Elephas maximus indicus: one gene and its partner. The protein of the gene in region 1 interacts with the protein of each later gene in a pairwise test. Links are inferred from orthologs where the notes say so. Each region holds a gene or a part of one and is shown on either strand. Other genes may lie near its edges.

Region 1 (16,143 bases):
TATAAAGAAGAATGTGGCATCAAGTTTGGAGGAAGACTCATTAACAACCTGAGTTACACAGATGATACAACCTTGCCTGCTGAAAGTGAAGAGGACTTGAAGCACTTACTAATGAAGATCAAAGACCATAGCCTTCAGTATGGATTGCACCTCAACATAAAATAAAAATCCTCACAACTGGACCAATGAGCAACATCATGATAAACGGAGAAAAGATTGAAGTTGTGGAGGATTTCATTTGACTTGGATCCACAATCAACAGCCATGGAAGCAGCAGTCAAGAAATCAAAAGACGCATTGCATTGGGCAAATCTGCTGCAAAGGACCTCTTTAAAGTGTTGAAGAGCAAAGATGTCACCCTGAAGACTAAGGTGTGCCTGACCCAAGCCATGGTATTTTCAATCACATCATATGCATGTGAAGGCTGGACAATGAATAAGGAAGACCGAAGAAGAGTTCATGCCTTTGAATTGTGGTGTTGGCAAAGAATATTGAATATACCATGGACTGCCAAAAGAACGAACAAATCTTAGAAGTACAACCAGAATGCTCCTTAGAAGCAAGGATGGCGAGACTGCGTCTTACATACTTTGGACATGTTGTCAGGAGGGATCGGTCCCTGGAGAAGGACATCATGCTTGGCAGAGTACAGGGTCAGCGGAAAAGAGGAAGACCCTCAATGAGGTGGATTGACACAGTGGCTGCAACAATGGGCTCAAGCATAACGATTGTAAGGATGGCGCAGGACCGGGCAGTGTTTCGTTCTGTTGTGCATAGGGTCGCTATGAGTCGGAACCGACTTGATGGCACCTAACAACACAACAACATATCATGTACATTTGAAACTACATTGTTTTTTCCTATAAGGTTCTTATACAGCTAAAAAAACTATAGATAGATATAGATATACAGCTAGATAAATGTAGAGATGTAGAAATGATATATATGTATATATATCTAATCATATACAAACAGTGGGCTCAAGCATAACAACTGTGAAGATGGCACAGGACCAGGCAGTGTTTTGTTCTGTTGTACATAGGGTCGCTATGAGTTGGAACCCACTCAACAACACGTAACAACAACAGTACAACTGAAGATAAATAATTATCTCCTATATGCCTATAAGATTTGTAAAAGAACTATATATACAAATCACTGCAGTTAAGTTGACAGAGACTCTGTAGGGTAGAGTAGAACTGCTCCATAGGGTTTCCAAGGCCATAATCTTTTTTTTTTTTTTTGTGCTTTAAGTGCAAGTTTACAAGTCAGTCTCTCATACAAAAATTTATATACACCTTGCTATATACTCCTAATTGCTCTCCCTCTAATCAGACAGCACACTCCTACTCTCTACTCTCTATTTTTGTGTCCATTCAGGCAGCTTCTGACTCCCTCTGCCTTCTCATCTCCCCTCCAGACAGGAGCTGCCCACATAGTCTCATGTGTCTACTTAATCCAAGAAGCTCACACCTCACCAGTATCATTTTCTATGCCATAGTCTGGTCCAATCCCTGTCTGAAGAGTTGGCTTTGGGAATGGTTCCTGTCTTGGGCTAACAGAAAGTCTGGGGACCATGACCACTGGGGTCCTTTTAGTCTCAGTCAGACCATTAAGTCTGGTCTTTTTATGAGAATTTGAGGTCTGCATCCCACTGCTCCCCTCCACCTCAGGGGTTCTCTGTTGTGTTCCCTGTCAGGGCAGTCATTGGTTGTAGCCAGGCACCATCTAGTTCTTCTGGTCTCAGGTTTATGTGGCCCTTTCTGTCTCTTTGGCTCGTAAATACCTTGTGTCTTTGGTGTTCTTCATTTTCCTTTGCTCCAGGTGGGTTGAGACCAACTGATGCATCTTAGATGGCTGCTTGCTAGCGTTTAAGACCCCAGACACAACTCTCCAAAGTGGGATGGAGAATGTTTTCTTAATAGATTTTATTATGCCAGTTGATGTAGATGTCCCCTGAAACCGTGGTCCCCAACCCCCGCCCCTGCTTTGCTGGCCCAAGGCCATAATCTTTAGGGAAACAGACTGCCACATCTTTCTTCCATGGAGCAGCTGGTGGGTTCTGACCACTGACTTTTGGTTAGCAGTTGAGTGCTTAACCAGTGTGCCACCAGGGCTCCATATCTATACATAAAAAACCCGCAGCCATCGAGTCTATTCCGATTCATAGTGACCCTATAGGACAGAGTAGAACTGCCCCATATGGTTTCCAAGGAGCGCCTGGTGGATTTGAACTGCCAACTTTTTGATTCACAGCGGTAGCTCTTAACCACTATGCCACTAGCGTTTCCATATATATATTTAAGCAAATTCAGGATTGTGGTTACCTGGGGTTTGAGGAGGAACAGGAAAGGAGACCTAGGTTAGGTTAAGTTATTCTACATGTTGCAGTTATTGGAATGGGCAGGGAGCTTGTTATATACATTCTATGACTACTAATTATAATGATGTGCGTATCAATGAATATCCACTAGAGAGAGAATGCTTCATCAGCCCGGGTCTGTTTTGGGCTCACTCCACCAGCTCCCTCTGCTCATTTTCTCCGCCCTCCCCCCCCCCCCAGAGAGGAGCGAGATCTTCCTGGAGGTGTGGGGGAACGCCCTGCTGCGTCCCCCAGTAGCTGCCTTTGTGCGCTCCCAGGCGGAGCGCCTGGCGCACCTGGTCCCCGAGCCCGACCGCCTGGCAGAGCAGCTGCCCTGGCTCAGCCTGGGCGCCCTCAAGGTCGGTGCCATCCCCCAGGCTCCCGGGGGTGCTGGAAGAACGGGAATGGGCAGTCCTGAGGGATATGTGTTGATGGAGTGGGTGGAGGCCATGAATTTGAGTCCCATTGGACTCCCTCTGTAGCATCTGGGGCCAGAGGCTGGTTTCTGCCCTCTGAGCCTCAGGTCCTTCATCTGAGACATGGGAGAGTACTTTCCACCCCTCGGAATGGATGGGAGGGTGAAGCAAGAGAAGCTGCTGTCTCATCACTCCTGTCTCCCTCTCTTTGTCCCCACAAAGTTCCGCGAGCGGGACGCCCTGGAGGCGGTGTTCCGCTTCTGGGCCGGCGGGGAGAAAGGGCCTGAGGCCTTCCCCATAAGCCGCCTCTGGGACTTGCGGGTGCGCCACTACCTGGGCTCCCGCTACGACGCCCGGCGCGGTGTCAGCGATTGGGACCTGCACATGAAGCTGCACGACCGCGGGGTGAGAGGCCCGGCGAGGAGGGGCTGGGGGCCGGGATTCCCGGGTCCGAGGGAGGAGGTGGCTGAGGGACTAGGCTCCGGGGTCTGAGGGAAGAGTGACTGGAGGACTGGACCCCCAGAGCTGAGGGAGGAGGGGGTTAGGGGCTGGGACTGTCGGGGCTGAGGGAGGAAGGGCTGGAGGACTGAATTCCGGGGTCTGAGGGAGGAGGCTGGGGGCTAGGACTCTCGGGGCTGAGGGAAGAGGAAACTGGGGGACTGGACTCCTGGGCCTAAGGGAGGAGGGACTGGACCGAGGGACTGGGCTGGGTATGAGGGGAGAGTGGCTGAAGGACTGGACTCCCGGGTCTGAGGGAGGATGGGGCTAGGGGCTGAGCCTCCTGGGTCTGAGGGTGCAGGGACTGGGAGTCGGGACTCCTGGGTCAGAGGGAGGAGGGGCTGGGAACTGAACTCCTGGATCTGATGTGGGAGGGGCTGGGGGCCCAGATGCCAAGTTTACTGAGGCCTCCCTCCCTCCTTCCCCCACAGGGTCAGGTCATCCACACCCGCGAGTTCCGGCGCTGGAGGGACACAGGCGTCGCCTTTGAACTCAGAGATTCCAGCTCCTACCACCTGCCCAACCGTACCCTAGCGTCCGGACGCCTCCTGAGCCACGTGCGTGTGCACCCTCTGCCCTGGCCCGCTCCTCCTTCTCCAACCGCGGTCTCACTTGCCCCTCTTTCCCTGCTTTCCCAGCGTGGGGAGCGCGTGGCGGCGCGCGGGTACTGGGGGGACATCGCCACGGGCCCCTTCGTGGCCTTCGGGATCGAAGCAGACGACCAGAGTCTCCTGCGGACCAGCAACGGGCGGCCGGTCAAGGTGTGCGGTGGGCGAGCTGGGGCTTTGGCAGACACTTGAAGCCCCTCCCTCTTTCTTCCAGGCCCCGCGGCCAAACCGCTGGGCGCCGCCCCGGCGTTTCACGTTCTGTCCCTCCCGTTGGTGACGAGCCTCCATCCTTGTTATACAGGCACCGCCCAAACTCCTAGGCTGCACCTTTGGCTACTAAACCCCGCTCCCAGTGCCCGGGTATCCACTTCTGCCTGCCTGGCCACACCCCTAACATCCAGGGCTCCGCCTCCGGGTACTAGGCCCCGCCCCCGGTTCTATGTCCTTGCGCTCTAGTGCTCCTTTTTGATTTTAGGTCGGGTCCCTGGGATCCAAGCTCACCCAGAGTTCTTAGACTTCGGTTCCAGCGCTCGCTCCTCCTTACTCTAAGCCCCGCCTCGTTCACTCAAACCCCGCCCCCGCGTTCCCAGCCCCAGTGTCTACCGTGTCCCTTCCCTTCCCCAGAGCGCGGGCGAAATCACCCAACACAATGTGACAGAGCTCTTCCAGGAGGTGGCCGCCTGGCGGCGCCCAAGAGACGCCCAGCGGGACCCGGAGCAGGCGCAGCAGGGGGAGGATGGAAACCTGGAGTCTGGTAAGCGAGGGACTCAGTCTTCCCTGTTGAAATGGGAGGCAAAAGGTCGGGATGGTGAAGACCAGCGGACACAGAGAGTGGAACCGGCACCCTGATCCCAGGCAGTACCTGTTGCCGTCTAGTTGATTCAGATTCATAGCGACCCTATAGAACAGAGTAGAACTGCCCCGTAGGGTTTCCAAAGAGCGGTTTTTGGATTTGAACTGTCCACCTTTTGGTTAACGGCCTGAGTTCTTAACACTGTGCCACCAGGGCTACTCTAGTACAGCAGCAGTTCTCAAATTTTGTTATACATAAGAATCACCTGGAAATCTTAGTAAAGTGTATATTCTGATTCAGTATGTCTGGGGTGGAAATGCAAATCCTCAGCAGGGGTTCAAACCGGAAGGAACCAATTCGAAGCCCTGGTTCAAATCTCTCTCTTCTACTGCTGTTTTTCTTCCTTTCCTAAATCCTCACACTTTTCCTAGAATTCTGAATTCCACGGATAGAATCCTGACTTACCTGTGTGTGGAAGTTTAAGTTGGTTGAGAACATTCTCACAGCGTGCTAGGTCCCAGTCCTTTTCGGAGACCCAATTTCACAACACACACACACCCTCTCATGAATTCTGACCATGCTTCCCTCTAACCATCTGCTGGCCGGGCTCTCCCTGGGTGTCTGTCCCACTCTAGGGAAGATGCGCCATGTGACCTGAGCCATCCATTCTCTGTTCTTCCCTTGAGTCTGTTGTCTGGTCTTTAAAGTGGATCTCTGCCTGCCAGGCTGATCTCCCCAGAATTTTCCAGGAATCTCCCTAAGAGAAAGGATGAGAAAGGGCTTCATGACAGACACTTAAACACAGTGTTATTTCCAACCTTCATTCCTCTGCCCAGACTCTGCCAGTATCTATGTCTCTCTGTGTTTCAGACTCCCACACCTGTGACCCCACCCAGCAGGATGACCCCTCTCTGTTCTTCCACAGCAGCCTTCGCCCAGAGGTCCTTCACTGTCCACTTCCTTTCTCTCAATTCTGCCCAGACCCTCCAGCACAAGAGCTGCTACAAGGGACGGTTCCAGCTTCTCTATGTGGCCTGTGGGTAAGAGGGTCTGGGAGGCACCCAGGCTTCCCTCTCACAGACCCTCCTCCTCATGGATTCAGGGCTGGGTCCCCAGACCCTTCCTCCCTCAGAACCAGGAGTCCAGCCCCTGCCCCTCCTCACTCAGACCCAGGATTCTGGGCCGTCAGCTTCCTCCTTCCTCAGGACCTGGGAGTCTGACCCTCTGCCTCCTTCCCCTTTCTCTCCACAGAATGGTCCACCTTCTCAGCCCTGAGCTCGGGGCCTGCGTGGCCCCCGGAGGGCGCCTGACTGTGGAATTAGCTCGGTGAGCCAGAGGAGAGCAGGGCTGGGAAAGTCAGGGTCCGGGTCTGAAAGCGGGTCCCTAACTCGCCTCTTTCCGGCTTCAGGTATCTGGTAGACCTGCGGCAGGAGCAGCTGCAGGCGTTCTCTGTCCGGGTAGGGGAGCTGGCTCAGGAGGCTGGATTCGCCGCGCTGTCAGGGGCTAGGTCCTCAGAGACCTTTGCGCGCTTCTGCAAGTCCGGGGACTCTTCTCCGGGCAACATTGACCGAGCCGTGGGATCCCAGACTCCATCCACAGGAGTCCTGGTCTGGCCTTCGGAGGTCCTTTCCCCGCCTCTAGAATCCATGGCTCCGCCCCCTGAAACTATGACTCCACCTCCTGAAGCCATGGTCACGCCCCCTGAAGCCATGGTTCCGCCCCCTGAGGATCTCACCCAGCACATTGGAGGCCTGGCCCCACACTCTGAGTACCTCAAGCAGCCCTCAGAGTCTCAGGGTTCCCCCTTGGAGGTTCTGGCTCCACCCCAGGAGGCTTTGGCTATGCCCCCAGTAGGTCAGACCCCAAAGCAGAAGAGTCTGACCCGACTCCTAGAGGCCAAGTCCCCCACCTCTAAATCCTAAAGTCAGGCCTTGGAATTGTAACACAGAGGATATAATTCTAGACCCACCACTAGAATTCTCAGTTTTACTCTCAAGATTCTCACTCAGCCCTGGAGGTGTTGCCAGAATTTCAAATTCCATTCACGGCCTTCTATAGTCTATCCCTAGTATTCTAGAATGCTCTCTCAGAATCCTAAATTCCACTCCTGAGACTCTAAACCCACTGGGTATCAGGCCGTCTGCATCGGCCCCTTGTCTCAGAAGTCTGCATTCCTAACTGGTGGGTGGGAGTGCCTTCTTTCCCAGGCCTGGTCATCACCCAAGTGGTCCCAGTAAAAGGAGTGGCATTCTCTTCTATGTGTGTCCGTGTCATTCCTGTTCTCCGTCTGTCTCTGGTGTCTGATAGAGGGGAGGGGCCTGGAGACTGGATTTCTGCGTTTTCAAATGGACCGAGGGTGGATTCTGAGATGCTGTGGTTTGGGAGCTTGGACCCCCTACAACTGAATCGTCACTTCAAGCAACAAACTGACTATAAAAGATGAAAAACACAAAGTTCCAGTTCTCATGGAGATTACATTTTAGTGAAGGGTATTGAGGGCCCTGGGGCCTGCACTCCTGGTTCTGGGGGATGAGGGGAACCGGATGACTAGGCCACCAAGGTGGCAGGGGTGAGCCAGCTGAAGCACAGCCAACCCCACCCCTCACGCGCCCCATTATCTCGCATTCTGGAAAGGGGGCGGAGGCATCGGCAGTATATTTAGTCTCTGTCCTCTCCCTTTATCTCTGTGTCCTCAGTGAGGCTTGAACAACAGGGAGGAAACCGAGCATCCCGGGACCTCCAAGGTCACGCCGGACGCCCCCTAACTCACACACTGAGAGCCCCTTGCCCCGTTTTCTGCCTTCTGCAATTCCAGACTCAAGCCTCAGCATGGAGAACCAGTGAGTGAGGGGTGCAAACCGGTAACCTGGATTCCTGAGGTCCCAAGGGAGTGGGAGATGGGGGTGATCTCCCGGGTTCTTGAGCGGGGTAAGAGCTGCGAGTTTGGGTACTGTCCTGAGAAGGGAAGTAGGGAACAGGACTCCTGGGTCTCGAAATAAGGTAAGAATTTGGGGTCAGACTTCTGGAAACTGAGGAAGTGGGATCTGGTGGCCTGGACTTCTAGGTCCCCCAGGACACGGATTGGACAGGACACGGATTGGACAGGACACAGGGTCAGCATTAACCCCTTTTTTTCCGTTTCTCTCCCTCCAGGAGCAGCGATGCGGTAAGGGGGGGGGCCGCTAAGGCGTGGGCTGGGTCCCTGTTGGCTGGGTGGGCACTGCAGGGAGGCGGCTGGGGCAGGAGGCTGCAGTCCTAAGAGAGGCCGTGGGGAGGGGCCGAGTGGAGTCCCAGTGGTGACGCGGCTCTGCTCTCTCAACCCCAGCGGGGCGACCCGCGCCCCGCACCTCCCCCGATCCGGCGCCGCTCCTCAGCCAACTACCGTGCCTATGCCATCGAGCCGCACGCCAAGGTGAGAAGCGGGGCCGGTGTGGTGGGAGGGGCCTAGGGGCTGGGCTTCGCAGGCGTCTGGGCTCAGATTGGTGAGGACTTGCCGCTGCAACTGGTGAAGCGGAAGAAGGGGTGGAACCAGGACTTCGATGGGGCGGGGCTTGGGCGGAGTCCAAACTGCACGATGGGGCGAGGTTTTACAGAAGGCTGACTCGGATTGGCGAGATTTACCTTATAGGCATAGCTCCGTTGCCCATGAGAACTCCGATTCGCCAGGGAATGGAGGGGCGGGGCTTAGCTGGAATCAGAACCTCAGATTGGTGAATGGGACTGAGGGGCGTAGCTTCCAGTAGAACGAGGGTGGAAATTGGGGGTGGGCATGAACCTCGCTTGAGGGGGTGGGTTCTGGAGAGCCTTCCTCCTTGTGATTGCCCTCCTTGACCTTTCTTTGCTACATCTCACCCTTCAGAAAAAGTCTAAGATCTCGGCCTCGAGAAAACTACAGCTGAAGGTGAGGATAGGCGGGGAGAAGAAACATAGGGATCTTCAAAGGGGCGGGGTTAAAAGTTAAAGTGTTGCTTGGGATGGGGCTTCGAATACATAGAAGGGGTGGGGCTTTGGAGCCAGCGTGGGAGGGCGTGATTTTACATCAGGGGCGTGGCTAAGGGAGGAGCGGTGCTTTGAGGTGACGGACATCAACCTTGAAGGGCGGGGCTTTGGAGCCAGACTGGGTGGGCGTGGTTTTATGGCAGAGCCTTACTAAGGGAGGGGCGGAGCTTTGAGATGAAAAACACCAACCTTGAGTGAGCGGTCTCTGGGAGACAGAGGACAGACCGGCCTGGGGTTGGAGGGTGGGGCATGGCAGAAGTGATTCCCCTGGGTGGGATCCCCTTCCACTCCTGCAGACCCTGATGCTGCAGATTGCGAAGCAGGAGCTGGAACGGGAAGCAGAGGAGCGGCGCGGAGAGAAGGGGCGTGCCCTGAGCACCCGGTGCCAGCCTCTGGAGCTGGCCGGCCTGGGCTTCGCGGAGCTGCAGGTACCGGCTCCCAGGGCACGACTCCTGCCCCGCCTGCGAGCCAAGGTTCCTAGTCTCCAGTCTTGCATCCTGTGGGAAGGAGAGTACCGTAATTATTCCTCCATCTGCTCAAGACCCAGGAGTCCAATCTCCCAGTCCTTACCTCTCAGGAGTTCAGAAGCAGGGCCTGCCCTAATTCCTCCAGATTCTCATGAGTCCTGGCTCCTAGCTCCTGTGTTGGCAGTTCCCTGGAGGTCAGGTTCCCAACCTCCTCCTACAGGACCAGAAGTTCAGGTTTCCAGCCCCCTCCTCCTTCAGGACCAGGAGTCCAGGACCCCCAGATTCTTCCTCAGTCAGATCCAGGAGTCCAAAACTCCAGTCCCTCCTTCCTCAGACTCAGGAGCCTGGGCCCGCATCCCCTTCCTCCCTCAGGCCCAAAGTCTGGGCTCCCAGCCACCTCCTTCCTCAGACCCAGCAGTCTGGATCTCCAGCCTTCCCCCCACCACAGATTCCACGTTTCTCCACCAGGACTTGTGCCGACAGCTTCACGCCCGTGTGGACAAGGTGGATGAAGAGAGATACGATGTAGAGGCAAAAGTTAACAAGAACATCACAGAGGTGGGCGACAGTGGGCAGCTTGGGGTACCTCCAGGGTCCAGTGAAGGAGCCCTGGTGGCGAAATGGTTAAGTGCTTGACTGCTAACCGAAAGATTGGTAGTTTGAACCCACCCAGGGGTTCCAAGTGAGAAAGACCTAGCAATCTGCACCCGTAAAGATTACAGCTTAAAAAACTCAGTGAGGGCAGTTCTCTGTCGCGTAGCGTTGCCATGAGTCAGAAATCAACTCGATGGCACCTAAGAACAGTAACAACAGGGTCCAGTGAGATGCCTGGGGCTGTGGTCCCAGCCTGACCCCTGCAGTTGGGGTTCCCAGGAGGTCCAGGGCAACTCTGTGAGGCTGGCAGGGAGGAAAAAAAAAACAAACCCGTTGCCGTCGAGTCAATTCCGACTCTGGTGGGGAGAGGACAGATAAATTAGTATGATGTGGTCAAGAAAGGCTGTTCCAGGCAAAAGAAACAGCAAATACAAAAGCCAGGAGGTATCAAAGCAGAACATATGTTTGTCTCATAAAAAACGCTGAGGGACAGGCCCGGGAACTGAGAGATGCATGTACCTGGACTGGGATATATCTTCTGGTTTTGAGAGATGAAGCTGGGGAAGATCAGGGAGGGCCTTGAGTTCCAGGATGAGGAGTTTGGACTTTGTCCTGAAAGTGGTGGGCGCCTGAGCTGGGGAAAGCCTGGATGAGACCTGGGTACTGGAAGGCAGGATAGGGATAGGAGGGAATTGTAGGGTGGAAGGGCTGGTTGAAGGGGAAGCAGAGGGAAGGGTCTCTACCTCTCCTCTGGCCTCCAGATTGCAGATCTGACTCAGAAGATCTACGACCTTCGGGGCAAGTTTAAGCGGCCCACCCTACGGAGGGTGCGCATCTCTGCAGATGTCATGATGCAGGCGCTGCTGGGAACCCGAGCTAAGGAGACCTTTGACCTGCGGGCCCACCTCAAGCAGGTGAAGAAGGAGGACACTGAGAAGGTGAGTGTGGGCTAGGGCCAGGAAAGGGGGTGCTGAGGTGGCGGGCTGTGGGGGGGTGGTGGTAATAATCCCAGGACATAGCCTGAAGACAGGTAGTCCATGGAGTTGAGAGGAAAGGCAGCTGGTAGGTAGTCTTCACTGGGAAGTATAGGCAGAACACAGCACATGCAAGAGGAAGACAGGAAGTAGAGGGGGAAGACAGGAAGTGTAAAAGGGAGAGAGGAAGTAGCAAGGAGTCAGGAAGTGGATGATGGCTACAGGAAGTGAATGAGAGAGAAAGTACATGCGTAGATCAGGGGGTGAACGAGGGAGACAAGAAGGGAAAGACAGGAAGTATAATAGCGAAAGAGCAAGTAAGCAGGAAGGTAGGAAGTATATAAGGAAAACAGGAAGTGCATGAGGGAGACAGAAAATGGATGGGGAAGACAGAAAATGCATTAGGAAGGAAGGAAGCATGCAAGGAGGTTGGGGGGGTATGTGGGAGACAGGGAGTACATGTGGAAGGCAGGAAATGCATGTGGGAAACAGGAAATGCATGTGGCAACTTGGCAGGGATTGTCTGTGGGGACAAGAAGTGTTCCCGAACCAGATCCTTGGACAGTCATCCATAGTAGAGTAGCGCATCAAGGTGTAGGGCAGGTGGGGGATACTTGAAGGACTAGAGACCAGGAAGAAACCTAACGTCTGGCCTTATCCCTCCCAGGAAAACCGAGAGGTGGGAGACTGGCGAAAGAATATTGATGCTCTGAGTGGAATGGAGGGCCGCAAGAAAAAGTTTGAGGGCTGAGCCTGCCTGCCCATTGCCCTGGCCCTGAGGATGGCCCTGAGGAATAAAGAAACTTCTCTCTGAACTGGGACTGACTGTGTATTTATCACCTGGGGGCTTTGGGATGAGAGAAACAGGAAAACTGAGGGCAGGGCTCCTTCAAAGCCACACAGCGTGTCGGGGCAGAGCTGGGTCTCCAACTCGGGGTGTTCTTGACTTCTCTGCTACATGGGAGGGGGTGAACAGAAACGCTGAGACCAATGCCCAAAGACAGATGGGCAGAGAGACATCCATGTCAGAGGGACTGAGTCAGAGACACAGAGAAAGAGAGTGTGCCAGAGATACAGAGGAAGAAGGGCAAAGAAAGGAGAAATGCAGAGATATAGATACAGACACACCAGACACCCTGTAAGACAGAAGTAGAGGCCCAACAAGGCACAGCTGCAGAGACACAGACACCTAGAAAGACCTAGAAAGATAGAGGCATAATACAGGCATAGAGCCAAAGAGAGACAGAAGCAGAGTTACCTACAGAGATGCACCAAGAGACTCAGACACTGAGAGGGGCTGATTCTCAGAGACAACAGAAGTGCAGAGACAAAAATACAGGGAGAGACCTGCAGAATGAGAAACATGCAGAGGGACCCAGGAAGAGGCAGAGACATGGAGAGAGACAGAGACAATCCCAAACAGATTCCCAGAAAGAGACCCAGAGAACAGCAGAGAAACAAAACCAGAGACAGGAGACAGGCAGAGATACTGAGAGGCTTGGAGGGGTAAAGAATTCAAGGTCATGGCTTGGAGGGGGAGGGGAGTGGGGGGATACCAAAAAAGATCTGTGTCATATGGAAGTGGGGGATGAGGTTGCACTTGGGCTAATTGACACCCCATCTCTCTCCCCTCTCACCCCCCTACGCACACACACACCTGCTTCCCAGCTTTAGTGCCTGCTGTCACCAGAGTGGAATCCTGGCGGTGACAAATGGGCGGGGATGGGGATGGGGAGACAGAGAGATGGACAAAGGCGGTGGCGGGGGGAGACTGAGAAGTAGAGACACACACACACACATACACGCATGGGCAGTCACAGAGACAACAAAGAGACAAAACTGAAACAGAGTTGGAGAGCTGGAGGGCCAGAGAGACCCAGGAAAAGGCACCAGCCAGGTGGAAACAAAGTGTCGTTTGTACACCATTGGTCAAAAATCGATAGGTGTTTTCAAGACCTATTGTGCGCTGAAAGTCTCTGAGTGGGACATAAAGTTTGTGCTCAATTAACAGTTTGTGGTCAATTACTAACCTAAGGGTTTGTTGTTCGAACTCACTCAGCAGCACCACTGAAGAAAGGCCTGGCTTCCATAAAAATTACAGCTAAGAAAACCATGTCTTATCTAGTGCTACTATAACAGAAATACCACAAGTGGGTGTCTTCAATAAACAGAAGTTTATTTTCTCATAGTTCAGGAGGCTAGAAGTCCAGATTCAGGGCACTGGCTCTAGGAGAAGGCTTTCTGTCTGTTGACTGGGGAGGAAGGTCTTTGTTTCTTGGTTCCTTGGTGATCTTCATGTGGTATGGTATCTATTTCCTCCCATCTCTGCTTCCTTCTCCTTGCCTAATCAGCTTGGTTTATAGTACCTCAAAGGTGATTGGTTTAAAATACACCCTCCACTGATATGGCTTCATTGACATATAAATAATTCCCAAATGGGATTACATCTACAAGTACTTAAAAAAAAGTTCCTGTGGAGTCAATTCTGACTCATAGCAACCTTATAGGACAGAGTAGAACTGCCCTGTAGGGTTTCCAAGGAGCTGCTGCTGGATTCGAACTGCTGACCTTTTGGTTAGTAGCCGAGCTCTTAACCACTGTGCCACCAGGTCTCCTCCATAAGTATACAGATTAGGAATTACAACACACATTTTGGCGGACACAATTCAATCCATAACATGCCCTATGGAGTGAAGTTCTAGTCTGTAACACACGGGGTCGCCATGAGTCGAAACTGAGTCAGTGACAACGGGGCTTACAGTGTCCTGGACCCAGGGACTTCAAAGCCCAGGTGATGCGCCCTATAATGGAGGCAACACAGAGCACTGAGAGTCCAGAGGGGTGGGATTCTAAGGAGGTGCTCATGGGGGTGGGGCAGGGGCCTTGGAGCAGCCAGGGGAGGTCACTATGGAGAACTTGGAGCCAGAGGGGGCAGGGCAGACTCTGAGCCAGGACTTTTGTTTGGGGAAAGGAATTCCCTCCCTCCTTCTCCCCCTGGGGCGGGGCTGAGCCAGAGGCTATAAACCCAGGGGATGCTTCAGCCCCAACACTGCTGATCTACTTAGCCCTTCACAGCATCTGAAGACCCAGCTTTAGGTAATGGGGGCCCTGGAGTCTCCGCAGATGATGTGGTAGGGGAAAGGAGAGGGGTGGGGGAGATGAGGGGTAGAGAGGAGAAAGTATGGGGGTAAAAGGGGCATAAAGATTGAGGTCTGAGAGTTTGGGAGGTTCAGGCTTCAGGGGGACTCAGGATTGAGGGAAGACTATTAGGATTTGGGGCTAATAGAACCTGGGGTGCCAGAATTTGGGTGCCCCAGAATATAACATTTAGGACCCAGTGTCTCAGAGTCTAGGAAGATCTCAGAAATTGGGGGTATCTGGGTTTGGAGGTCCAATAGTCTGGGTATCAAGATTTGGGATCTTAAACTCTGATGGTATCAGATATGGGGGGAGGGTTCGAATCTGCGGTTTTAGGAATCGAGGTCTCAATCTGAAATATTATGATGGAAGCAATCAGCATTTGTAGTCTCATAATTTGGGGGTATTATGATTTGGGCCTCAGAGCTTGCGTATTGGGATTTTGGGGTCTCATAATCTGGAGAGTTCAGAATTAAGATGGTCCTGGGGATATCTGGATGTTTAGGTCCATAATCTAGATCATCAAGAATTGGGGTCTCAGGATCAAGAGTGTTGATATTTGGGGGTGTCAGTATTGGGGTTTCAGGATTTAAGATCTCAGAAAGGGGAGTTGTATCATTTTGGGGTACCAAAATAGAGGTTCAAGATTTGAAGTGTTAGGTTTTGGAGGATTAGAATTAGGATATCTAAATCCCAGGTATTAGGAATTGAGGAGTTCAGGGTTTGGGGATCTCAGAATCTGAGGTAACAATCTGGAATCTTGGAATCTAGGGATCTCAAGATTTGAGGGACCCAGAGTTTGTGAGTTTCAGAAACTGGGGTCTCAGAATCTAGAAATATGAGGATTTACTGGTGTCAAATGGGGACATTAACAAGGGGGTCAGAATCTGGAGATATAGGGATTTGGAGGTCTTAAATCTGGGCACCTTGGGACTCAGGGGATCCCAGAGACTAGGGGGCTGTAAGTATTTAGGGGTGAGGATGAGATCTATGGGCAGAAGCTGCTCTTGAGAGACCACACCATGGATGTGGCCAAAGGTGAAAAGGGGAGACAGATGGGAGGAATCCCAGCCAAATGGCCAGCTGGGTTGTGTGACCAATCCTCCAGAAGCCCCCTCAGACCCCTTATTAGGAAATGTCCTCTGTTTCACCGGCTACGCCACCCCCGAAAATAGCCCCTGGGGGAGGGGCAGCTATTGTCTTCAGGCCACTGTCCCTTCCCAAATACCTCTTCCTAATCCCCACTCAGATCAGGTTCCCATGGACCTGTCATAAGACAAAGGAGGACAGCTGGGGTGGGGGGGCGGGGGCTGTGGCCCTGGGGCTGTGCCGGGACCACACCTCCAAGTGCCCCGTTCTCAACCAGAACTTAGGACTCCAGGCCCCCAGCCCCCTCCTCCCTCGGACTCATGAGTCTGGGCCCCCGGCCCCTCCTTCTGGCCCCAGAGTCCTGATCCCAGGCCACCCTCCCTTAGACTCGGGAGTCCGGGTGCCCAGCTCCCTCCTCCCTCAGACGCAGGAGTCCGGGCCCCCGACCCCTCCTCCTTCCGACCTAAGAGTACGGGTCCCCGGCCCCTCCTTCCTCAGCCCCGGGAGTATGGGCCCCTCGCTCCATCTCTCTCAGATCCAGGAGCCGGGTTCCCCAGCTCCTCGTCTCTTAGGACGTCTCACTCCGCCAGTTCTCTCTGGCCCCTAGGTCTTAACAGGATGTCGGACACCGAAGAGCAGGAATATGAAGAGTGAGTGATGCTAGCGGGAGGGGTGAGGGGTTTGGAGACGTGGAGGGCTTCTCTCCCCCTCCCCCTCCCCCATTTGACTCTCCCTTCTCTCTCCCTCACCCGGTCCTCAGGGAGCAGCAGGAAGGTGAGTACAGAAGGGGTTGACCTCGGGGTGGGGACACCCAGACGTATCTTAGCCAATGAGAGGGAGGGAACGGGGGGGGGGGAGGGTGGACCCTCCTCGGCCCCATGCCAACTTCGCCGGTATACAGCCAGTGGAAAAGCCCGGTTCACCTCTCGGTCCTCCTTTCAGCCGAATCTGGAGCCTGGAGCCCTGGCCTCTGGCCTTCTGCTCTGCTCTTCCCCCACCTCTCACCCCCGTCGCAACTTAAAGCCCTTCCGCCTCAGAAACGAGAGTAACAGCATTTTGGTGTGGCAAAATACAGAGGCTCAGCATTTGGGGTGTTAGATTTTGGGGGGTTAAAATTGGAATACCTGAATATGGGGTGTCAGAATTTTGAAGTATCAGGAATTGGGGAGTTCAGGGTTTGGGAATATCAGAATCCGAGGGTAAGA
Region 2 (15,940 bases), on another chromosome or scaffold:
CATCTTACCTGAGGCTCGTCTGAAATGACCCAGGCCCACGTCAGCACGGAGAGAGAAAGACAGAGATGAGCTTCAGGGACTGGGGCTACTTGGCCCTTTTTGCTCCTTCTAGGGAACACCCCTTCCCCATAGCCCTGCTGGCTGTTCCAACAGCTGCTCAGAAACCCAGGTTCCAGGCCTCCGAGCCAACCTTTAGGACCATCCTGGATTTTGTTCCTCTCCAGACACAGCCTCTACCCAGGCCAGGTTATTCCAAACCAGGCCCAGAGGACAAGTCTTCAGACAGCCGGAACGCTGTGCCAAGGACACTGAAGGTGTTCCAAACCCCAGGTCGGCTTCCACCTCACCATGTGACTGCAGGCAAAACAGTCCCCTTCTAGGACCAGAAGCGTTGGACCAGGTCGGTGTTGACTTAACGTGTACAAGTGAAGTAATTCGTTTTTATGTACCAGGGTAAATAATGATGAATCACAGATAGGAGGTGGTTCCCCTTTAGTCCTCTCTTAATCTCTGTGACTATAAATTGAGAAGCTCTCAGCTTGGCACTTTTTTTTTTTTTTAAGCACTCCCCCAACATTTCTCATCTCCAGTTTTAGAAAAGAGCCCGAAAGCTAATCGCAGGTCAGGGCCCCCTTCCGGCAACAGCAGCATCTAGGCTGACGCAGCTTCATTTTCTCTGCCTTTATTTTGATGTCTACCTTCTATTTATGGCAAGTGAGGTTTTCCACACATACAGTGCTGTTGTAAAATGGTCTTTTAAAATAAACTTATTTAAGGAAAATGAAAAAAAGCAGGTTCATTTAAAGAAAATATGAAGCCAATAGTGGTACAAGTGATATTCAGACAGGACAAGAACTGGGAAGGCGGTACTGGAATGACAGAGGCTTTGGGAAACACTGAGCATGATGACCGCTGAGCTTCCCCCCAGTTCTGAGAACCTGAGTGTGGATTAATGACAGTAATGCTGAGCCAACAGGTTTAAAAAAGGGATTAGCAAGTGCTAGGTTTTAAAGGTATACTGACACCAAACCAAGAAATACCAGTTGTCATCGAGTCAGTTCTGACTCATGGCAACCCCACGTGTGTCAGAGTAGAACTGAGCTCCGTAGGGTCTTCTATGGCTGTGATCTTTTGGAAGTAGATTGCCAGGCCTTCCTCTGAGGTGCTTCTGGGTACATTCAAACCACCAACCTTCTGGTTAGTAGGCCAGCGCTTGACCGTTTATGCCACCCAGGGACTCCATACTACCAGGAGACCACCTTTTTCTCTCCAGTGTTCTGCAGATTTGCTGGTGTTATAGCCACTCCTGGTCACTTAGGTTTGCCTACTCTGTTCTCTTGATGATTCTCAGTGTTGTTAGGTGCCGTGGAGTTCGTCCCGACTCACAACGACCCTGTGTACAACAGAAGGAAACACTGCCCAGTCCTGCGCCATCCTCACAATTGTTGCTATGTTTGAGCCCACTGTTGCAGCCACTGTGCCAATCCATCTCGTTGAGGGTCTTCCTCTTTTTCACCGGCCCTCTACTTCACCAAGTATGTTAATACAGAGGATGCGAAAGTCTCACGATAAAGAAACCTATCTTATTCTCATTCAGATCTGCATTCCCGAAACATACTGACTGCAAAACCCTTTCCTGAACAGTTATTAATATCCCAGGAACCATTATTTTGCAGAATACACTTCAGCAAACACTGGCCTATGATAACCCCTTATGTTCATGAAGCTTTTATTTTTATTTTTAATTTTTTTGCAAAAAAATTTTTTACATCCATTATCTCATCTGATCCTTGTAACCTCCCACCAAGACAGGAAATCATGATAGTAGCTCCATGGACTGAACACTCACCCTGTGCTATGTGCTGAACATTTACAGTATTATTTAATCATCACAAGAGCACTGCAAGGAAGGTGTTATTATCTGGTAGGCAGCTGAGGAAGCGGACTGGGGGCGGGGGCAAAGGGCTCAAAGCCTTTCTCTGAGGCACACAGCTGATAAGTGGCCCAGCTGGGATTCAAACCCAGGTAGGTCAGATTCCAAAGCCTGTGCTTTTCCCCCAGAAGTTAGATGGGGACCAGGGGTCCCCAGTGGGCAGAGGAGGTGAACTGCTTCCCCAGACATGGGCCCCCATTCCTCCCTGCCTCTGGGCTGCTCCTAGGTGACTGATTCTTAGTGTCTCCTTCCTGTGCATTACCCCTCATCCATCCTAGAACTCTAAGACCTTTGCCACTTAAGACCTGAGCATCACAGAATCAACCCCTGCTCAAATTGGAGGAGTGTCCCCATGGGTGTGGACCTGTGTACTAACAGCAGCAGAGAGGGGTGGAGAGGCCCAGATGTGGGACAGGGCTCCAGGCCCCCTTCCTGCTGAGTCAGAGGCAGAGGCGGGTGGTGAAGAGGGACGTGAGAGGCAGAGCACCGCCACCACCGCCAGGACTGGCCAGGCCGGGCTGGGTTTCAGGCCTGGCAGGGAGCACAACCTGGTAGACCTCATTCTTCATGCCAGTCCCTCCTCTCCACAGCAAGGAAAATGGGGACTCCAAGGCCTCTCCTCCATGTTACTGTTCACCCCAAGCCCCTACTGGCCTCCTAAGTCTAGCCCTTAGGACAAGATTATACTGTACAGGGTGGGTGCTTGAGAATTGGTTATCCTGGGTTGGAAGGAGGCCACAGGAGGCCCTAGATGCCAGCCATTTTCAACCCAAAGTAAATAATGATATAAAAAAAAACAGCCCATTGCCATTGAGTTGATTCTGACTCGTAGCGACCCTATAGGACAGAGTAGAACTGCCCCATAGGGTTTCCAAGGCTGTAATCTTTATGGAAGCAGACTGCCACATCTTTCTCCCGCGGAGCAGCTGGTGGGTTTGAACAGCGCCAACCTTTCAGTTAGTTGCAGAGTGTTTAACCACTGTACCACCAGGGGTCCTTACACATACATGTCAGAATGCCAGGCAGGCACCATGCTGAAAGCTTTCTGTGCACTGTCTCCTTTAATTCCTGCTACAATCCTCTGATGTAGATATCACTGTCATTATTCCCACTGCCCAGATAAGAACACTGAGGGTCAACAAGGTCACATGACTCTCCCAATACCAAACACCTGAGATCAATCTGGGATCCAGTAAGGGGGATTTGACTCAGCTTGTTCTGGCTCCAAAGCCCACTTCCTTAACCACTAGCCCATGCAATTCAGGTTGCAAGTCTAACCCAGATCATGTCCTTCCCCCTGTTATCTTGCTACAGTTTGCAAAACCCTTTCACACATATAAGTTCTCTGTCCCAAAACTAGACTAGGAGGCAAGTTCATTATCTCCACTTCAGTCAGACTCGGAAAAGCTAAGTCATTTGAGGATCTGCTCAAGTTTCAGCCCCTTCCTGGCCTGGCTTCCCCGTCTGTAAAATGGGGCAGCCATTTCTAACTGTATTCACCCTTCTGCTTCCAAGAAGTTAGAGCCTTCCCTGCTCTCTCTTAGCCATACCATTCTTTTGGGCTCACAGCCCAGGACCTGGACCCTCACTCACCACGTACTTGGAGGGTGGATCCTTGACAACGTTGGCACTAGTCACCTCGAAAAGCAGCCGCTGGGGTACTAGGGTGTTACGGGACTTCTTCCAGAAATCCTGTAGCTGCCGGGCCAGGAGCTGACTGCCCCGAGGACCGTCCGGCGGGGGGCCTGGTTCTGCGGAAGCACACAGGTACTGGTCACATCACCAGGCCTAGGGCCAGGACGCATGTAACCACATGCCAGGAATTCATTTATCCTCTTAAGCTGTAAGACAAGCTTTATCCCCATTTTACAGAAAAGGAAATTGAGGGCCAGTGAGGAGCCGGGTGCCAAGCACAATGTCTGGAACATGGTAGGCGCTGAATAAATATTCTCATCCCGAAGCATCGTCAGCACAGTATTGCCATGTGTATCCCATGCCATACATATGTTTAAAGCCCACACCAGCCCAGAGATGGGGGTGATTTCCCCTATTTGAAGCAGGGGAAAACTTGGCTCAGAGAGGTGTTGTGACTCTCTCAAGGTCACACAGCCAAGAGGTGGCTGGGGCACTTAAAGAAGTGTCGGAATTTCGGCTGGATCAACTCTGAGTGCCCCCAGATGCTCTCGGGAACGCGGCTGGGATGGAGGCCTAACTGAGCTCCAGGGTCTGGTCTCGTCCCCCGACACTCACCTGCGTCTTCTCCCGAAGCCCCATCCCCGGGGGCCAGCGGGTCAGGGCCAGCCTCCTCGTCGTCCTCGTCCTCGTCGTCCTCGGCGCTGGTGAAGCTGAGGGTGCCGCTGAGGCGGGAGGACAGGCCCTCGGCGTCGTCATCCTCTAGCTCCGAGCTCTCCGGGAACTGCTCCGCCTCGGGCCCGGCCGCCGCCTCCCGGGGGCCGTCGCTGGCCAGGGCGTGCCGCAGCCGGTGCAGGAGCCGGGAGGCCATGGCACTCTGGGGGGAGCGCGGCGCTGGGTCCCCACCCGGGAGCAGGACCCAGCCCGCGGGGAGGAGGGGGCGGGCCCGCCCACAGGGGGAGGAGCCGCGGAGGCCCCGCCCTGCCCCGGGGGGCCCAGCGAGTCCTGGGACTCCCGCCCCACCGCCTCCCGGACCTACGCGTCCAGGGCTGCGGTCTTCCCAGAGGGTCCGGTTCCTCCCACGTCCCTGTGCCCCCTTCGCGCGCCTCTACCTCCAGCGCCCAGCGGTGCACTCCGGAGCGCGCCTCCCCTGGGGTCCCCGAGCAGCCCCCAGCGGCTCGCCGAAGCCTCCAGGAGCCGCTGGGCTCCGCCGGACTCAGCCGGGCCCAGTCCGCTCTGAGCGCCGCTCGGGCCTCTTCCTGCCGCCGCCCCGCCTCTGGCCCCGCCCGCTCCCTGGAGCCTCCGGAGAATCCCGGGCCCTTAGCTCCAGGAGAGGCTTGGGGTCATCCCCGGGAGAACTCCAAGCCACCTGCTGATCATCCCCAATCCGTAGGGCGCACACCCTCTTTGTGTCCTTCTACCACTCACAAAGACCCAGGCCGACTCCAGTATTGCCTCCCTCCCCCTCGGTTTCCACCTGATGCTCCACTTTCTCAGGTCCTTATGCGACATTAAATCAAACCGGTTGCTGTCGAGTCGCTTCTGACTTGCAGCGACCCTGTAGGATAGAGTAGAACTGCCCCATAGGGTTCCCAAGAAGCGGCTGTGGATTCGAACTGCTGACATTTTGGCTTGCAGCTGAGCTCTTAACCACTGCTCCACCCATGTGACATTAGGAAGGGCTCCTGTGTGACATTAGGAAGCCCCTTTCTCCAGTGGGGAAACTGAGACCAAGAAAAGACACGTGGCTTGGTGTGGCATCTGACCTAGATTTCCTAGGTTTTCTCTTAACAGAAAACAGGAACAATAGTATCAGTTTTGCAGAGATTGATTGCAGCTCAAGGAAGGTCCCACCCTAGTCCAGCGCCTGCTGCAGGGTGGCCGAGGTATTGATCAGTTACATAACGATCATGGCTTCCACAGGGTTCACAGGCTTTCACAATCCTCTTTGAGCTTCACACTTAGAAAGTAAGCAAACTGGGAAACTGAGACCCAGCCGGCAGAGTTACTTGCCCAAAGCCACAAGCTTACAGAGGTTTCTGGGGATGGGGGCTTGGAGCTCAGGTCTTCTGGGTTCTACAGCCAGTTCTTTCCCATGCTGCAGGCCAGTAATCTCAGCACCTCCTCTGGGGCTGGGTTTTATCTTTTATCCAGAGGGGACCAGTAGGTCAAGAAGATTTTAAGCATGCTTTTTTCTGTTAGAAGGCCTAGCTACCAGTCCCTTGCAGGGCAGATGTTGCTAGTTATGCAATCAAACACAGCCTGACTGTAGTGCCTATCCTTTACATACATATGGAACCCCCGGCAGCTTAGTGGCTAAATTCTATACTTCCTAACCAAAAGGTCAGCAGTTCAAATCCACCAGGTGCTCCTTGGAAACTCTATGGGGCAGTTCTACTCTGTCCTTTACGGTTGCTATGAGTTGGAATTGACTTGCTGGCAACGGGTTTTGTTTTGTTTTATATATATAATTTATTTTGCACCTACCCTTTTTGAGTGGCACAGGGGAGAAGGGTGGAGAGATGAACAGATGATCAGAAGGGGCGGAGCCAGGCACGCATTACCCTATAAACAAGGTACACTGGGGTTTGTGAAGTTGTGCACTACAGATTACTAACACAAGTAAACCCATACATACCGTGCTGGTTAACCCACCCCTGAGTGGAGCTCTCATTTCTCAAGCTTCCACTCTGCCCCGAGTCCTGTTCTAGGCACTTTACATGTTGCCACGCCTCAGCTTCATAGCACCCTGGAGAGGAGGCTATTACTGGACAGTAATGGTCCATTTTCAAGATGAAGAAACCAAGACAAATCAACTTTTCCAAGGTCCACAGCTAGGGAACGGGGGAGCTGGGATTTAAGATGGCAGTGGGTGGGTGGGTGTAACAGCAAAGCTCTAATTCCTCTTCATTCTGCTTACAGGCAGGGTGTTGAGGCAAGAAAGACATCTCATTCATTCATTCAGCATTCATCCATTCACCAAACATTGGCTGAATATTAACTTGACCTTTGGCATATGCGTCGTAAATCTGAGTATAAATTAAAAAACACAAACTTGTTGCCGTCTAGCCAATTCCTACCGAGAGCAACTTTATGTGCTTCAGAGTAGAAGTGTGCTTCACAGGGTTTTCTGGGCTATAATCTTCTGGAAACAGAGTGCTAGGCCTTTCTTCTGAGGCATCACCACTGGGTAGGTTCAAGCTGCCATAGTAGCTGAGTGCAAACCGTTTGTGGCACCCAGGGACCTGGGTACAAAGCAGGGGTTCGTAAAACCTTGGCTGTCAGAGCAGGAGGGTCCCTCAGAAATCTGCTTCCATTTTACAGGCGGGAAGTCTGAGGCTCAGTGAGGGAAAGACCTTCATACTGCCCTGGTTCATACAAATAGGGCCAGAAGCATGGAAGCAGGAGGTCTCCTGATGTCCTGTCTTGTGTTCTCCACTAGTCTTAGACTGTTCAGATATCTCCCTACAGCCTCCGTGAGAGATGGTCATCTAGCTCCTGCTTACGTACATCCAGTGACAGGGAGCTCAGTACCTCCTGAGGCTCTCCATTCCCATTATTGTTAATCTGTGACTATAGGGAAGTTCCTCCTTATATTGAACCAGATTCATTCAGTTCAGTTAATCTTATGTAGAACACCATATTTATTGAACACCCAAGTAAGGTGCCAAGTAAGGAGCCCTGGTGGTGAAGTGGTTAAGCACTTGGCTGCGAATTGAAAGGTCGGTGGTTCAAACCCGCCAGCCACTCTGCAGGAGAAAGATGTGGCAGTCGACTTCAGTAAAGATTACAGACTTGGAAACCCTATGGAGCAATTCTACTCTGTCCTATAGGGTCGCTATGAGCCAGAATCAACTCCACGGCACAGTTAAGTGCCACACGCTGGGTCCTGGGGGATGAGATGGGATACAGGAAACCTTCTGTGGTCTATGGAATGCCGAACAGGCTCAGGGCTTATGACTGAGGAAACTACTGGAGGCCACCCTGGACTCCCCTGGCCTGGCCTTAGAGGAGGAGGGATCCTGGCAGGAAACAAAAACAAAAACAAAAAAAACTCCAAACAAACAAAGAGCATGTGCATAGGCCTGGAGGCTATAAGGGGTGGAGGACTTAAGTATTTAAGACCGACCAGAGTACAGCAACAGGCAAGGTGCAGAGAGCCGGGGGAGTGAGATTGGACTGGTGGGTGGGACCTTACCTATTTCCCTGAATAAACAAAAGAACAAATCAATGAACAAATGATCTCTGAGGGTTCCAGGACCTCTTTTCCAAAGGGACTGGTGTCCAAATTGAAATTCCCTAGGTGTCGCCCCTGGCCCTCTGCCTGGCTGGGGGAGGCCTGATTTAGTCTGGCCTGGCTCCCTACAGCTTTCCTTGGAATGTCTATATATAGGGGGAAGGGGGCAGCCCAGTTGCCACTGTCCATCTGCCTTTCCTGCTGTCCAGCCCCCCTTCCCTGGCTCTAGGAACTGCACTGAGTGGCCTCAGTGCTCATACTGTTGACTTAGCCACTGTCCAGGAGCCTTGCATATTTGGCAACGCCCAGCCTAGACCCTCACGGGTGGACTCCCTTCAGACTTGACTTGCCCACCCCTTCACCCTCCAGATGGCCAGGTGAGCTCCTCCAAACTTCTTCATGGAGCTCTAGGAAGGGGCCAGCTGCCGCTTCACGTACTTAGAGAACTTTCCCCTGACTGCCCGCTCCTCCCCCGCAAAAAAAAAAAAAAAAAAAGAATCCCAATCCCATACATCCTTTTCCTAGAGAAGGTAAGTTTCAGAGAAGAGTCTTTGCTTCCAATGCTTATTTTCTTTCCTCTCTAAATCTGCACTCTCTCCCGGAACCCTCCACACACTTGTTCTGGACACCTGCTGCCGCCCAAAGACTGCCTCAGTTTCTCTCCAGTCAGGATCAATAGTAAGGATCACCAACATAAATACAGACCTTCAGGATTTATAAAGCACTTCAGTAAAAGGGGGGATAATAATAGTTGCTACCTCACAGGATGAATACTTGGTCAGATCATGTGGTTCAAATGCCTAGCGCAGTGTGTGACACACCATAGAGGTTCAATAAATGGCAGCTGTACCTACCACTTCCCCCTCATCCTGTCCCCTACCCCTTACTATGGTTTAAGGACAGGAAATTCCACTTGCCAAGCTCCAACCCCATGTACCTGGCCCAAGTTAGGTGACTTATACCTGGGTTCCCATTTATCACGGTCTCTCTGTGAGGGAGGTTTTAATTATCCCCATTTTGCAGCTGAGGAGACTGAGGCTTACAGAGGCATGACCACTTGCCCGAGGTCACACAGCTTGTAGAGGCATTACTTGGATCTTGTGTTTCACACCACAAGGCTGTGCTCTTCCCACTCTACCATGTTGCCTCACTTTTCTGTTCTGATGATCCTTTCCCATCTTGGAGCAAGTATGCTTCCTGAGCGGAGGGGGGGCGCTCTCCGAGATGGCGGAGCAGGGTGGGTACTCCTCATAAGAATCTAGGACTAGGACATCAAGTCCTGCCACCTGCTCAGAGGCTTAAATTTCTCTGCAAGGGCCCTTGGCTAAATTAGGTAATGGGCTAGGGCTCTGGGAGGGGTGGGGCTTGCTGACCCCAGGATCTGATTGGCCAGGGTATCCAGTCCTGGGGAGCAGGGGGGGTGGGAGGAGGGGGTGCCCCTACAAATCCCGGGGGCTGGAGTGGGCCAGGACATCTTTGGGTGGTGCATTTCAGAGGAGGTGACCTGTGGCAGAGGTGTCCGAGTGACCTGCAACCATGGTAAGGATAAGGAGGGACTCTTTTCCCTCACTCGCTGGGGTGCCTCTGGGCTTCTCTGAGGACGGATCTGGGTGCTCTGGGGGGCAGTAACTTGGATGTTTGCAGAAGAGTGTGAAGTTTCCTTGGAACCCAAGTTTCTTGAAGAAAGCCTGGGAAGAAGTCCCTCAACTTCTCTTGGAAGGGGAAGGGCCGGGATATTCCAGGGATTGATCCTCAAGGCTTGCTGATTCTTCTAGACCTTCTGGGACTTCCAGCAATGTCAGTCATAGAGCTGTGAGGGGTTCTTAGCTTGGCTCTCTCATGGTACAGATGGGGACCCTGAGAGCCAGAGTGAGTTGACAAAGGTCAGCCAGTGAGCCAGTGGCAAGAGTGGGCTAGAAGCCTGGCCAAACCTACTACTGTCAGTGACAGGAAAAGGCTCCCTTGGAAGTAAGGAGGCCTGCAACACCTGGGAACAGCTCAGGGGCAGGGCCCCAAGAGCCCTGAGGCTGATGGGAAAGGATAGACGATAACAGACTAGAATTAGAGACACAGATTCTCAGAGACTGGTCCTGGTTTGGGGTTGTCATTTTCCTCTGAGACTCCCCTCCCCACTTCAAGGAGTAACCAGACCCCAAGGACCAGCTGCTGTTGCCCACACCTGACTAAAAATAGCCTGCCCTCCTGGCATAGGGAAAGGGAGGGGGAGGGGAGAAAGGAGCAGGGCCAGAGGCCGAAGAACTCCTTGGACATCTCAGCCCTTCCTTGCTGCCAGCCTCCTTGCAACAGCCCCTCCTCCATGCAACCTACCCAGATGGTCTGGCTTGGATGTGACTGGAAACCCTCGCAGCAGTCTTATTTTCACCCCCTGAAGGGCTGCATCCCATTCTGCCCAGCATGAGAGTCTTTAATGATTGACTCATAAGAAGGAATCTCAACATTTGGAGCTGCATCTCTTCAAGTTCTCAGAATAACGGGTCCCACTCTTCTTGGTGGTTCCAATACTTGCTTGTGGCCTGACACATAGTAGGTGCTCAAGAACTTTGTGTTGCATTATTATTTACAAACATTTACTGAGTACCTACTAAAGCATTTGGCACCATTAGGAGCTAGGAAAAACTGGAAAATCATGCTGGAAAGGTGCTGGTGCTTTACAAAACTCTAACGCAAACATGATTTCGTCTCTATGATGAATTTCAATCACAGTTCTGAGTGATTTGCTCATCGTCACAGGGGCACGGTGTTCCTAATTTGGCCTCAGATTGACCAGTAAGGAGGCCTTAGACATAATCTACATCTTCTTCTTAGTTCTTCTAAATGTGGCTGGGTGCTGGGAGGCCATGAAGGAGGTGTGACAAATTTGGACCTGGTCTTCTGGAGGAAGTGGGGGTGGGGGTGCTTACAGAAATGGGGGTTGGGGAGAATGGAGCTATGGCAAGGATCTGTGCTATGGCTGCCCTTTCTGCTCTCTGACTCTCTGTGTCTTCTGCAGACGGACCAGCAGGCTGAGGCTCGGTCCTACCTCAGCGAGGAGATGATTGCTGGTGAGTGAGGTTGGCCGGCTGGGTGTTTGCAGCTGCGTGTGTGTGGGGGGGGGGCGGGGGGGGTGTCTGGTGTAGAGCAGGGTGGAAGGGCAAGTGTATCTATGATGGGGGCTCTGGAGGTGACAGCAAACCCAGGTTCCACTCAGCCCTGGGCCCTCATCCCCCCTGGCAGAGTTCAAGGCTGCCTTTGATATGTTCGACGCTGATGGTGGCGGTGACATCAGTGTCAAGGAGTTGGGCACCGTGATGAGGATGCTTGGCCAGACACCCACCAAAGAGGAGTTGGATGCCATCATCGAGGAGGTGGATGAGGATGGTGAGTGGGTGGCCCTTCGTGGCAGGTGTGGTGATGGCGAGGAGAAGCAGGCACCTGGGGCTCAGGCCCACTTGGCCACCCTCTCCCCTCAGGCAGCGGCACCATCGACTTCGAGGAGTTCTTGGTCATGATGGTGCGCCAGATGAAAGAGGATGCAAAGGGCAAGACCGAGGAGGAGCTGGCCGAATGTTTCCGCATTTTCGACAGGTGCACTGGGGGCCTGGGAGCTTGGTCGGCAGGCAGGGAGCCAAGGTTCTCTGGGGTGAGGATGTGGGAGAACTGTCCCGCATGGCCAGGGCAGCTAGCTGGTCCAGTCCCTGAGCCTGGTCTTGCCCCTCTGCCCTGAAGGAACGCAGATGGCTACATCGACCCGGAGGAGCTGGCTGAGATTTTCAGAGCTTCCGGGGAGCACGTGACAGACGAGGAGATTGAGTCCCTAATGAAAGACGGAGACAAGAACAACGATGGCCGCATCGACTTCGATGGTGAGGGCCGCGGGGGCGGAGAAGGGGGCCACGCGGGAGCGTCCAGGGAGCACGTGGGTGCGGTTGGCACCCACCTGGGTGTCCTTGGCCTTGAGGGCAGGGCTGGGCCTAGCTTGACCGGGACCGGGTCCCCCACCCCTGCGAGCCGGTATTGCGCTGGGGCACCTTGGTGCTATTTATCAATTGATGACATGGCGCCCCTCGCCGTGGCCGTAGCCAGCATCCTTGGCGCTTGTTGTCTCCTTCCCCGCAGAGTTCCTGAAGATGATGGAGGGCGTGCAGTAAGGAGTCGGGCCTGCGCCTAGAACGCACCTCCCCCGGGCGCGGGCGGCTCCGCCCTGTCCCCGCCCGGTTCCACCTCCGCCCGGGAGAAAGGCGCGGATCCTTCTGGCTCTGTGTCTGGAACGAATAAAATCAAGCCTTGGAAAGCGCGTGGCTTCAGTGACCGGAGGGCCGGGATATCGGGTCTCAGGGCCGTCTGGATGGCGCTCCAGGGGGGTGGGCGGTGGGCTGGGAGCTGAGGGACGCGGAAGGGCGTCGGGGTGCGGGAGCGGAGGCGGCGGTCGCCCTGTGCTGGGCTGCGCTAGTTGAGGTCGGCGGGTTAGTGGCCGGCTACCCGCAGCTGGAGCTGGGCTTGTGTAGCTCCGCGGACGTGCATCGGCTGCGGCTGGTGCTGGAGGAGGGAGGCCGCAGGGGTTTCGAGCTGAGTCGGGTGAGCCTGCGGAGGGAGCTCGGGTTGGGGTGGGAGGGTATAGGCTGAGGGCGCAGCAGGAGGTTGGGACCCGGGCGGCAGAGCCCTGCAGTCCCCTCACCTCTCCACCTGCCTTTCTGGAGCCTTTGGGTATTGGGTACCGTACTCGCCACACCTTACGCAGGCCACCGGTCTGGGGAGCTGGGAGTGTGTTGTGTGCTCACCCACCCCAGCATGGTTTCTGCCTGTCTGTTCTTCCGCGGGCTAACGGGATGCGAGGTACCGTCGATGGTAGGTAGGCGTGAGGATGGCAACACAGCCATGAAGGGGTGGTGACCTGTCATCTCGACCCTGGATCCCTGCCTGCCTCGTCAAGTCTCCCTGCCCTATGCCCCCTCCGATGCGCTCAACAGAGGGCCACCATCATGATCAGGCTAGAGAGAACTCTTATCCGGCCACTTCCTGTTGGAAGCCCTCCGAGGCTCCTCATTGCTTCTAGGATCTAAATCCAAATTCCTCCCTCTGCTCCCCTCCCCCCATGCCCCCTTGCGGATTTCCAGCCACACTGGGAAACCAACCATTCTTGATAGGAACAGGCATGCACTTTCAAGGCTTTGGGCCTTTGCACGTGTTCTTGCGTGAAACGCCTTTCCTCCTGACAAATTCTTCAACTCACAAGATCCCATTCTCATACCATCTTCTCCTTCCTTGATCCCTCTGGCTGCCGACTCTGGCTCCTGGAGCTCTTTGTCCAAAACACAATTATAGCAGGCATCGGGCTGTAAGTGTAGTGATAGTTTAGCTTTAGAGTAGGCTGGCTGAGTTTGAATCTCGTATTAAACTACTCTGTGCCTCATTTTCCTCATCTGTGAAATGGAGATAATGACAGTAGGACTTACCTCACAGGGTTGTGTGCAAAGTGCGTGGTACAGTGCCTAGCACCTAGTAACCACCTTAATAAATACTAACCATATGCTGTGGGGTCAATTCTGACTCATGGTGACCCCCATGTGTTTCAGGGTAGAACTGTGCTCCATAAGGTTTTCAATGGCTGTGACCTTTTGCAAGCAGATCACCAGCCAGGCCTTTCTTCTAAGGTACCCCTGGATGGGTTTGGACCAACGACCTTTGGTTTATAGTCAAGCACTTAACTATGTGTGCCACCCAGGGAGTGCTTTTAATACATGCTGTTAATTATTATCATTATCACCATCATCATTCTTTTTGTTCTAAATTTTATTTATTTTGTTGTTGGGAATATACACAGCAAAACATAACACCAACAGTTTCAACATGTGCAATTTAGTGACACTGATTACATTTTTCGAGTTGTGTGACCATTCTCACACTCCTTTTCTGAATTGTTCCTCCTTCATTAAGATAAACTTACTGCCTCCTAAGGTTCCTATCTTTTGAGTTGCTGTTGTCACCTTCATCATTCTTTTTTCATTTTTATTTACTTTATTGTGCTTTAAGTGAAAGTTTACAAATCAAGTCAGTTTCTCACACAAAAACTCATATATACCTTGCTACATACTCCCAGTTGCTCTCCCCCTAATGAAACAGCCCACTCCCACCCTCCACTCTCTCTTTTCGTGTCCATTTCGCCAGCTTCTAACCCCCTCTACCCTCTCATCTCCCCTCCAGACAGGAGATGCCAACATAGTCTCAAGTGTCCACCTGATCCAAGAAGCTCACTCCTCACCAGCATCCCTCTCCATCCCATTGTCCACTCCAGTCCCTGTCTGAAGAGTTGGCTTTGGGAATGGTTCCTGTCCTGGGCCAACAGAAGGTCTGGGGGCCATGACCACCGGGGTCCTTCTAGTCTCAGACCTTCGTTATTCTTGAAACACTGAACTCTCCTTACTCATTGCTGCAGCCCTTTCATGTTCTCTTCTCCCCTTTCTATCGGATTCGTAAGTCTCCAGTTTGTATTTCCAGCCAGGATCAGTGCTGGAGTTTAATAATGACCGCATTTATCGAATGCCTACTATGTGCTATGCATTGAATGCGTTGTCTCATTTCACCCACACAACAACCTTAGAGGCAAGGCCCTTTGTGGTTGGACACCTGTGCTACTCCGCCAGCCTGTCTTCCTCCTTTTCTCCCCATGTTCTTATCTACCTCCGGGGCTCAATCGCCTCTGGAAAGGCTTCCCTGACCCTCTTATTCTGCCTTAGGTGCCTGACCTCTGTGCTTTCATAGCAACTTGTGAGTCCCATACACATTTATTGATGACTTACTATGTGCCAGGCGCTGTCCTAAGATCATTATGACTATCCTATGAGGCAGGTACTCGTATTTTCATTTTAACAGAAATTGTTGCCACAGAGTCAATTCTGACTCCTAAAAAATTCCTAGCAACCCTGGAAGACGGTAGAACTGCTCCATAGGGTTTCCAAGGCTGTAATCTTTATGGAAGCAGACTGCCACATCTTTCTTCGGAAGAGCGGCCGGTGGGTTTGAACCAGGGCTTCAAACAGGTTCCTTCTGGTTCAAACCCTTGCTGAGAAGTTGCATTTCTAACAAGTTCCCAGGCAATGCTAATGCTGCTGGTTAGGGACCAATTCTGAGAACTGTTAATAAAGCAGTGGTTCTCAAAATTTATTACACATAAGAATCACCTGGGGATGTTTTGAAATGTTGATTCTGATTCAGTATATCTAGGGTGGAAATGCAAAATTTCAACAGGGGTTCAGACCAGAATGAACCCGGCTCTAACTGTCGACCTCTTGGTTAGCGGCTGAGCACTTAACCACAGCACCAAAAACAAAAGGGCTTTTTTACAGAGAGGTTAAGTATAAATGTGTTTATAAGCTGCATGTGGTGGACCCAGGATTCTAATAGTTGTTTAAGCTGCGTGGTCTGAGCTCTTAACCACCACTCTGTAGAGCACTTACTTATTCTACTGTGTAATTGATGTGTCTATCCACCCCCTAAACTTCAGCCTCTTTGAAGACAAGACTGTCTTTTTCTCTGATTTATCACCAGCCGCAAACACAGGACCTTTACCTTGTAGGCTTTTGATGATTGCATTGAATGGAATGGGAGTAATAATACTTTCTAATACTTACCCTAAGGAATTCTGGTGGCACAATGGTTAGGCGCTTCGCTGCTAACCGAAAGGTTGGCAGTTCGACCCCACCCAGCGGCTCCATGGGAGAAAGACCTGTGATCTGCTTCTGTAAGATTACACCCTAGAAAGCCCTATGGGCAGCTCTACTCTGTCACATGGGGCCTCCATGAGTCAAAAGCACCCAACAACAACACTTATTCTAGTACCTTCTTCGTTTCAAGTGACAGAAAGTTAAAGGTCAAATTGATTTAAGCCAATGCTTATGAAACTGAGAAGTCACAGCATGGACTGGAGGCTAGAGTCTCCTGTGTCACCTCTCTCTCAGCTATTGGCCTCTGCTTGGCTGCTTCCATCTGCAGCTGTCTCCATCAGCAGCCCAGACTTACTGCCCCCCCGTCCCCCTTTTAGTAACCCAATTAGTAAAAGATTTTCTCTACCAGTGATTAATTCCAAGGAAGTCTCTGATTGGTTCTGAACGACAGAGTAGATTGACATAAAGTAGGTCATG

What was found.
Region 2: the proteins of TNNI3 (region 1) and TNNC2 interact in binary tests that used the Homo sapiens proteins (3 or more experiments, as listed by UniProt). The two-hybrid records come from large-scale screens. The link is inferred for Elephas maximus indicus from reciprocal best matches to the Homo sapiens genes TNNI3 and TNNC2.

Annotation. Positions count from the first base shown.
Region 1 is NC_064829.1:91,884,478-91,900,620, forward strand, and holds TNNI3 (troponin I, cardiac muscle), read left to right. Parts: upstream 1-7,457; 5' UTR 7,458-7,506; coding exon 7,507-7,517; intron 7,518-7,830; coding exon 7,831-7,843; intron 7,844-8,002; coding exon 8,003-8,089; intron 8,090-8,536; coding exon 8,537-8,578; intron 8,579-8,972; coding exon 8,973-9,104; intron 9,105-9,611; coding exon 9,612-9,701; intron 9,702-10,498; coding exon 10,499-10,675; intron 10,676-11,378; coding exon 11,379-11,462; 3' UTR 11,463-11,499; downstream 11,500-16,143. Other genes in the region: DNAAF3 (dynein axonemal assembly factor 3), read left to right, coding at 2,564-2,721, 3,001-3,183, 3,708-3,833, 3,915-4,037, 4,509-4,638, 5,603-5,717, 5,929-6,003, 6,086-6,599. UniProt on the Homo sapiens protein: Troponin I is the inhibitory subunit of troponin, the thin filament regulatory complex which confers calcium-sensitivity to striated muscle actomyosin ATPase activity.
Region 2 is NC_064843.1:23,410,927-23,426,866, forward strand, and holds TNNC2 (troponin C, skeletal muscle), read left to right. Parts: upstream 1-9,286; 5' UTR 9,287-9,338; coding exon 9,339-9,341; intron 9,342-10,812; coding exon 10,813-10,864; intron 10,865-11,036; coding exon 11,037-11,180; intron 11,181-11,272; coding exon 11,273-11,387; intron 11,388-11,528; coding exon 11,529-11,665; intron 11,666-11,918; coding exon 11,919-11,950; 3' UTR 11,951-12,083; downstream 12,084-15,940. Other genes in the region: SNX21 (sorting nexin-21), read right to left, coding at 3,527-3,684, 4,184-4,436. UniProt on the Homo sapiens protein: Troponin is the central regulatory protein of striated muscle contraction. Tn consists of three components: Tn-I which is the inhibitor of actomyosin ATPase, Tn-T which contains the binding site for tropomyosin and Tn-C.